2 linked regions of the Sus scrofa genome follow. The protein of the gene in region 2 purifies or fractionates together with the protein of the main gene of each other region. This does not show direct contact. Links are inferred from orthologs where the notes say so. Each region holds a gene or a part of one and is shown on either strand. Other genes may lie near its edges.

The links. The genes of interacting proteins can lie anywhere in the genome.
Region 1: the proteins of TNRC6A (region 2) and AGO3 purify together in Homo sapiens (affinity purification with mass spectrometry; 7 studies listed by BioGRID and IntAct, with this or other methods). This does not show direct contact. The link is inferred for Sus scrofa from reciprocal best matches to the Homo sapiens genes TNRC6A and AGO3.

Annotation. Positions count from the first base shown.
Region 1 is NC_010448.4:92,154,744-92,158,392, reverse strand, and holds part of AGO3 (protein argonaute-3), read right to left. Parts: intron 2,466-3,649; coding exon 2,331-2,465; intron 1-2,330.
Region 2 is NW_018084874.1:820,781-825,039, forward strand, and holds the start of TNRC6A (trinucleotide repeat-containing gene 6A protein), read right to left. Parts: upstream 2,948-4,259; 5' UTR 2,817-2,947; intron 1-2,816.

The sequences.
Region 1 (3,649 bases), on a different chromosome or scaffold from region 2:
GACTGGACCCCTAGCCTGGGAACCTCCATATGTCACAGGTGTAGCCCTGAAAAAGACAAAAAGACTAAAAAGAAAAAAAAAATTTGTTTTCAAATCTTCGCCTTGATTTAAAAAAAATTATCAGTAAGGTTCTACAAGCCTTCTAAGTAAGTTTTTATCAAAAGCAAGTTGATACACTTACATACATATGGTACTTTTACCATATACTTCCCCCAATATTTCTGCTATTAACCATGATAAATTATTTCATAAAGAAACCACTCTAAAGTTATCATTAAATATTTAGGAAGAAGTTCAACTTGAACCAAATGAATATTGTACTACTCATTACAGAACACTTTTTATCACTATTTAATAGTTTATCATCAAATTCCTCATGTCAACTAAAATGTAATCCCAAATTTATAGCACAGAACATGTAACTTTGATTCTCCTGCATTACTTAAGTAGGAATACACGATGTACTTTAAAGAGCCCGCTTTAAAAAAAAAAAAAAAAAAAAAGGGAAGAAAAGCCTTCTTGACTTTGGAGAAAAAAATACATCAGTTTGTCAGTTAGATCCAACTTAGATTTTTCTACCCCAAATCAGTAGTCATAGGTACCTAAGGATTAGATCCAATCCAGGGGTTAGCAAAAGCTGGAAATTAAAAAAATGGACTAGATAATTCTCTGCCAAGGTCCCTCCCCAAACCCTCCATCCAACCAAAAAAATGTTTTTGGGTTTAATAAATCAAATATTTAACCTATAAACTTGGCTTTACCTTCACTATAACATCAACTTTATAATGCTTTCTAGTCATTTTTTCAGTCATTTCTTTGGCCCCCTGAGCAGTTGAAGTTAAGATCGAGTCCATGCTCTTCGGGCTGCAGTTGAATCCTTTTGTTCTGTACATCTTGTATTTTCTGTGATAGAGTGGTGATATGAGTTGATTGCATAGTTACCGCAAAATAATTAAGTGACTTCATGATATCAGAGGTGGTAACTAAGCAGCAACTCCACTGGAAACCATGGCATTTAGATGATCACACATTAATGGTGGGTAATGCACCTCCCAACAATACTAACTGCATTTAATACAGATTATGAAAGGACAATGGTATGGTTGCAATATAAGAATACATAACACTTTCTTGAAACAAATAACTTGAGATAAATGGATGCTTATTTTCGAAGCAGGAAGATTTTCCTTTCAATGTTTTATTGTAATGACTCTCTCTCTTCTGATTACTGAATGACAAAGAATAAATGATTACTCGAGCAAGCAGGATGCATTCAGCTAAACTAATTGATTTGGGGAACTGTAAGATGTTCAGAGAACAAACTTCAATGCTTCATTCAAACCATAAGCTGAAATTACCTGCAACAAATAGGCAAAACCTTAAAATGAAACATAATTATTTCTATTTAAGATGCAACACTTACTATAAATAGAACTTATACTATTCATTCTAAGAGGATATCTAATTTCTCTTTGTATCTAAATAATAAGGAACTAAATACAGTGGAGTTACATCTTATGTGAGGATTAGGTTCTAAAGTCATGAACAAGGCAAGGACTTTATACAATCAACATTACTCCTGAAAAATCCCTTAAATTGCTGATAAAGTACAGCATATGTGGGTTTGCACATAAAACTGTGTTTGTATATAGAAAGGTACTAATATACAGAGTAAATATATATAAAATATAAATCTGAGAATACAACTGAAATTAATTTTTTATTTTTCTCTTTGGAAGAGCATGTAGAGATGAATTTATACTAGTAAAAAACACACAATGCAACACCACTGTATAAATTTTAGCTACTAACTAAAATAGGCAAGATCAATGGTCAATTGAATAATGTATATGAAATAACTAAGTTTCAACTCTAGAACAAGATATGAAACAGGCTAGCTTCATATCCATAAAATTTACAAAGGGATAAATATTCTGCTAACATTTCAGAAAAGTAAAGAAATTATTATATTAGCATATGTTCAAAGAATGGCTCCAATTATGAAGCAATAAGTTTTTGGAACAAACCTCCTATTTTCAACAGTATCATAGAAGCATTTTCCCATGGGATATTCTCATACCTTCAGCTAGTAAGGGAAAGTATTAACAAAGAATTAGCTAATATCAATACGAATGCCTTTACTTGGTATTTCTATCATTGAAACATTACCTAAGATGTTATGGTAATGAATTTAATGTGATATTTTAGACCTAATCTATACTTTTACTGATGATGTTACATGAACAGATTTTAACTTAAAAGAATTTCAATAAAAGTTTGTTATATTCATGCACTTTATAGTTAAGTTGTCCAAATGCTAATTAATTCACCTTTTATCTCTTTGGTGAATTTTACCCGATGAGAATCAGTCAGAGGTCTTGGTTGTTCATCAATATTATGAATGTCAAGAACTTCACACATGAACTGAATTACAGGTTGTGCTTTGTAGAAGGCAGTGGCAGAAACTAAGAAGAAAAACACACATAGTACAAATTAATGTTTCCTTTAAAAAAATGAAAAACTTGATCTCAGGCTCCATGATAATTAACTACTTATAGAGTTAAAATTACCCTTTTATGTATATCTATATACATAGGTAATTCCAAAATTAAGCAGTTTCAATTGATTTGTTTGACTGGAAGACAAATACAATAACAGAAAAGTGTATTACAGTTTTTATAATCTATCTCTCTCATCATGGGTAACAGACTCATTCCCTTCCCTACTACATGTACAGAACAATGTTCTGGCTATGAGACAAGGTCTGTAAAGAGACAAGGAAGCCCAGGGCACCTTAGAATAAGAAATGGTTCGGTATTATTTCTTAAACAAAGCTTCTGTGTTAGCTCAGAAGGCTTATCTATTCTAGCGAAATGTCTATCTATTTCCTGCCTGGTGTAGACTTGAGAAGACGGTGGCATTAAATGTTACTAGTACTAATCCAAGCTATAAGTAGTAACAGTGAGGGTATCTGCCCAATGTTATCCAGCTACAGTCAGCAGCCTTCTAAGAGTTAACAAGTATGATTTCTTAATCTTGGGTTTTGGAACTAGAAGAGCTTCACCAATAATTAGCAGACCACTAGCATTCATTGCTTAAAACACATACTTGCTGACTGCTATTATGTACTATAAAGGCACTGGAGATATAGTGAAAAGTAAAACCAAAACAGACAATAAGCTACATGCTACTGTGTTATTTTTTTATTTAAAAAACATGCCCGCTGTGGTGTTCTTTTATGATCCCTGGTTTGGGATTAAATGTCTTCCACAAAATGTCCCTTATCTCTGCAAATATATATATATTTTGGCTGTGCCCACAGCATGTGGAAGATCTTAGGACAGGGATCAAACCTGTGCCACTCAAGCTGCCTGCTGCAGTGACAATGCCAGATCCTTAACTGCGCCACAAGATAACTCCTGGAAGGATATTTATTTATCAAGGCTTTAGTAGTAGTTATTTCAGGATAATGAGGTTATTGACATATTTTTATTTTCTTCAATTTTATCTTAAATCTTCATTTTTTTAATAGTGAGCACATATTACTTTTTCCTCTGTTACAGAAATAAAAGGAGTTCCCGTTGTGGCTCAACAAAAAAATTAACAAAAAAACATTACAAAAAAATTAACAATGTCTTAAAGATCTTTC
Region 2 (4,259 bases):
TTCCTCTTGGCTTTCAGTTCTTCCCCTAGCAGAGGAAGACAGTATCCAGCTTCCTATTTTGAATTCACACAGTAGGCTGGAAACAAATAGACACAGTATTTTGTAACTCCAGTCAAGAGGTATATATTTTTTTCATTCCTTGAGTCCAGGTTTGAGCTAGGAATGTGTCAAAACCAATGGAGTACTAGCAAACAGGTGTTTGCAAAGTGCTTTTGGGAGTTCCCGTCATGACTCAGTGGTTAACAAATACGACTAGGAACCATGAGGTTGCATGTTCGATCCCTGGCCTTGCTCTGTGGGTTAAGGATCCGACGTTGCCGTGAGCTGTGGCGTAGGTTGCAGACGCGGCTCAGATCCTGTGTTGCTGGGTCTCTGGCGTAGGCCAGCGTCTACAGCTCTGATTAGACCCCTAACCTGGGAACCTCCGTATGCCTCGTGGGTGCAGCCCTAGAAAAGACAAAAAAAAGAAAAGTGCTTTTGTATTGGGGTTCCCCTCCTGGTGCCGATTTTGGAACCCAGCATCACAGGAAGACAACTAGGCTAGCTTGCTAGATACGGCGATACATGTTTCACTTGCCTCTGTCCATTAGCAGGCATGTGAGTGAGACCACCTAAAATCAGCCTCCCCCTGCAAGCTGCCGGCCAACCAGCTATATGAGTGAACGCAGGCAAGGACGGAATTACTGCCCATTATGAACCCAGGTGCAACTGCCAACTTGCAGCATGATGAGCTATTCATGACTGCTATGTTAAGCCCTGGCATTTTAGGGTGGCTTGTAATGCTGCAAAAACTAACAGACACCCCTCTAGAACAAGCCTTTTCTTATGGAGGCTCTGATCACGCTACGTCTTTGCTTTAAAATGCTTTAATGGTTGTTCATTGATCCTGGGATGAAACACAAGTCATTTCAGCGAGGCCTGCGGTGGCCCACATCATCCAGAGTGCCTCACCTCCTGGTATGGCCCCACTCGTGCTGCTCCTCAAGGGGTCCCGCATATGCCATTCCCTCTATCTGGAATGCTCTTCCTGGCGCTTTATCTGGTTGATGCCTGCTCCTCTTTCAAGTCCTAACCAAGAGAGGACTTCTTTGACCGACTCTTCTCCTTTGCCCCCCCAACTGAAGTATGAATCCTATTACACAGCCTCACACTACTTATTGTCCTCCTTCCTAGCAAATACCCTGATAGGAAACAAATACATTGTCTTGTGTGATGGTATGTTTATTAGCTACCTTTTCCACTGGACTGTAAATTCTAGGAGAACAGGGTGTCTCTGTTTGCTCACAAATGTAGCCCCAAACCTTGCACACCACCTGTCTCATGGGAATGTAGATAGATTTTTTTTTTTTTTTTGTCTTTCTGTCTCTTTAGGGCCGCACCTGCTGCATATGAAGGTTCTCAGGCTAGGGGTCGAATCAGAGCTAGAGTTACCAGCTTACGCCGCAGCCACAGCAATGAATGATCTGAGCTGCGGCTGCAACCTACATCACAACTCACGGCAATGCCGGTTCTTAACCCACTAAGCAGGGCCAGGGATCGAACTGTGTCCTCATGGATGCTAGTCGGGTTTGTTAACCGCTGAGCCACGATGGGAACTCATTTTTTTTGAGGTAGTTTATCATAGTGGTTAACTGTGCAGGCTCTACAGAAATGCTGCCTGGACTCAAATCCTAGCTCCATCACTTACCAATCGAGTGACGTAACTGCTTTTTGCCTCAGTTTCCCCATCTCTAAAATGGGGATACAAACAGCCCCTCCTCATTGAATCACTGGGTTGACTGTGCTCAGCAATTGCTAATTATTTCTTGCTGGACAGATGACAACAGACCTGGAGAACGTGAACCTGAAACTTCTGCCACCACCACCATCTCCCTCCTACGTAGCTACAGACGCGGCCATAATGGAATTTACATTTGTCTTCCCCAGAGCTAGTTTCTCAGCCAGTGCTCTGCCTTCTTCTGCAAAGGTGCGGCCCCAAACTCTGAGCCATCTCTCTGAGATGCCCGGTTACATCCAAGCAAACGCCAAGCACGGAGCCCTGGATTTTTGACTCCTGCCTGAAGACCCGATGTCTCCCACAGACGGTCAGACCCTTGGGGTCAAAGGACATGGTCCCCTCACTGGTGTAACCGCCACTCCTATGGCTGGATGACCCCCCTCGCCCCCCGCTGAGTGGGGATCAGAGCCAGCAGACATCCACCCAAGAAACAGTTCTGATGGCCCCCAAGAAATCCATCAATCACACGCAGGCACCTGCACACACATGCACGACAGGAACAGGGGCCACTTGCATTGTCTTAGGGAGCAAACCATCTCAGGAGGGACAGTGAGTACATTTTCAAACACCAAGTCCTCAGAAGCTGGTCCTGCAGGGTCTGGACAGAAAGCACATACAATCTAGGTACCAAAAAATGTGTAAGGGGGGAGGAAAACTCCTAAGAAAAGCAGAGAGACAGAGAGAAGGGGGAAGAGAGGGAGAACGTGGGGCGCGGGGGGGGGTAGGTGAGAAGAGAATATAGGAGGGGAGGGAGGGGAGAGGAAGGAGGTGAGAAGAGAGGCTGAGAAGAGAGACTTAGAGGAGCGAAAAGGGGAGGCGGGAAGACAGGGCGATGAGAGATGTGGCTCCTGCCGCCCCAGCACAGCGGCGCCGCGCTGCGCCCCCAGGAAGCCTGCGTGTCTGGCGGGGCCGCGAGCCGCCGCGTCCCAGACCCGGCAGGCACCTTCCTCCTACGGCGCCCACCGAGGGTGCCGCGCACGCGAACCAGGCAGTGTGCACCAGCTTCGCACAGAACCGCTCCGAGTGCTCAGGAACTTACCAGGCTGCGGGAATGCTGGGGCACCGCTCCTGGGGGCACCCCCCAGCTGAGGGGCCTGGTCTCCAGGTACCCGGTGCTCACAGGTTAGTGGCGGCAAGACGACGGGGTTTCCATGCAGTCAGGCGTCAACCCAACGGGAGGGAGAGCCAGACCAAAAGGCAAAGGAGAGGACGGGAACCTGCTTGTGTTTTTGTATTGAAATTGTTTTTGAGCCCACGTAGCCCTGGGAGTCACATGCTGCCTCCAACATCACCGGAGTCATCACATGATACAGGTCCCCCATCATGTGATGTGGCCAATCTGCCTTAACTTCAGCCCCCCCGCCCCCACCCCCAGCGCCTAGACTGGCAGAGAAAGTGCTTCTGGAGGAGGCCCCCTCCCCCCAGAAATCAGTGATAGAGGGAGGGATGCAGATGGGGAGCCTCGGAGCCCATTGCGACGCTCAGATCTTGAGGAATCGTTAATGCTCCTCTCTCCCTCCTCCCTGGCTACTGCGCCTTGGAGCGGTGCCAGCCTCATTTGAATTCCAGCCTTTGTGCATAACTCAAGTGTCGCCACCATTGCTCCAGCAATTGCAGGGCGTTTGCGCTCACACCATCCTGCCTCGTTCTGGAAAGTCCACCTCGGCTGCCTCCCCTCCCGACAGCGTCCATGTCTCCTCACGGAGCAGTGGGAGTGGGGCGGAGGTGGAGGATTGCGGGGCTGCAGGGGAAGGAGAGACCGCTCTGGCTGAACCTTCTAGTCCTTTTTTTTTTTTTTTTTTTTTTTTTTTCTCCTAGCTGCAGTAGGAGTCAGGTGGGGCCCCGTCTGGCTCTGATTAGGCTGTCTCCTTTTAAAGATCGCAGCTCTCGGCTGTCTGCAGCACGCTGTCTCCCTCTCACTCTTTCTCCCCCTGCCCCCCCCCCCCATCTCTCTCCAAACACGCATTGCATCGTTTCCCTCCTTGATCACGATACAGTTAAAAAGATCTGGGTTAAAAATCTCTGAGGCTTCTTTCCTCCCCTTTGCCATCACCTCCTTTTCTCACTGGTTCCTGCATGCAATCAGTCTTTTATTAAACAAACATTTTTATGGAGCACCTACTATGCGGTGGGTTTTGTGCTAAGCTGGGAGAAAGGAAAAAGGAAGCGAGATGTTAAAGAAACGCCTGAAGCAAGATCCCTCCCATCCTGGAGGTGCAGCAGTGTCTGTCAGAGGCAACAAAAACATCAACAGAGGTAGCAGATGTAAATTTCAGAGGCACACAAATTTGGGCGTGCAAAAATGTGACTCCTCTATTGGTCTACACCCCAATTTTGCTTCTTCCTCCAGCCCCCGCCCCTATTCTGCTCAATATCAGACATTGAGTCTAATTACTTCCAGATAAGCCTACCGCCTCAAGGAATCCTTGACACAAACGAATGTTGCTAAAAATCTAGAAAAAAAGAAGACTTTGGTTGTCGT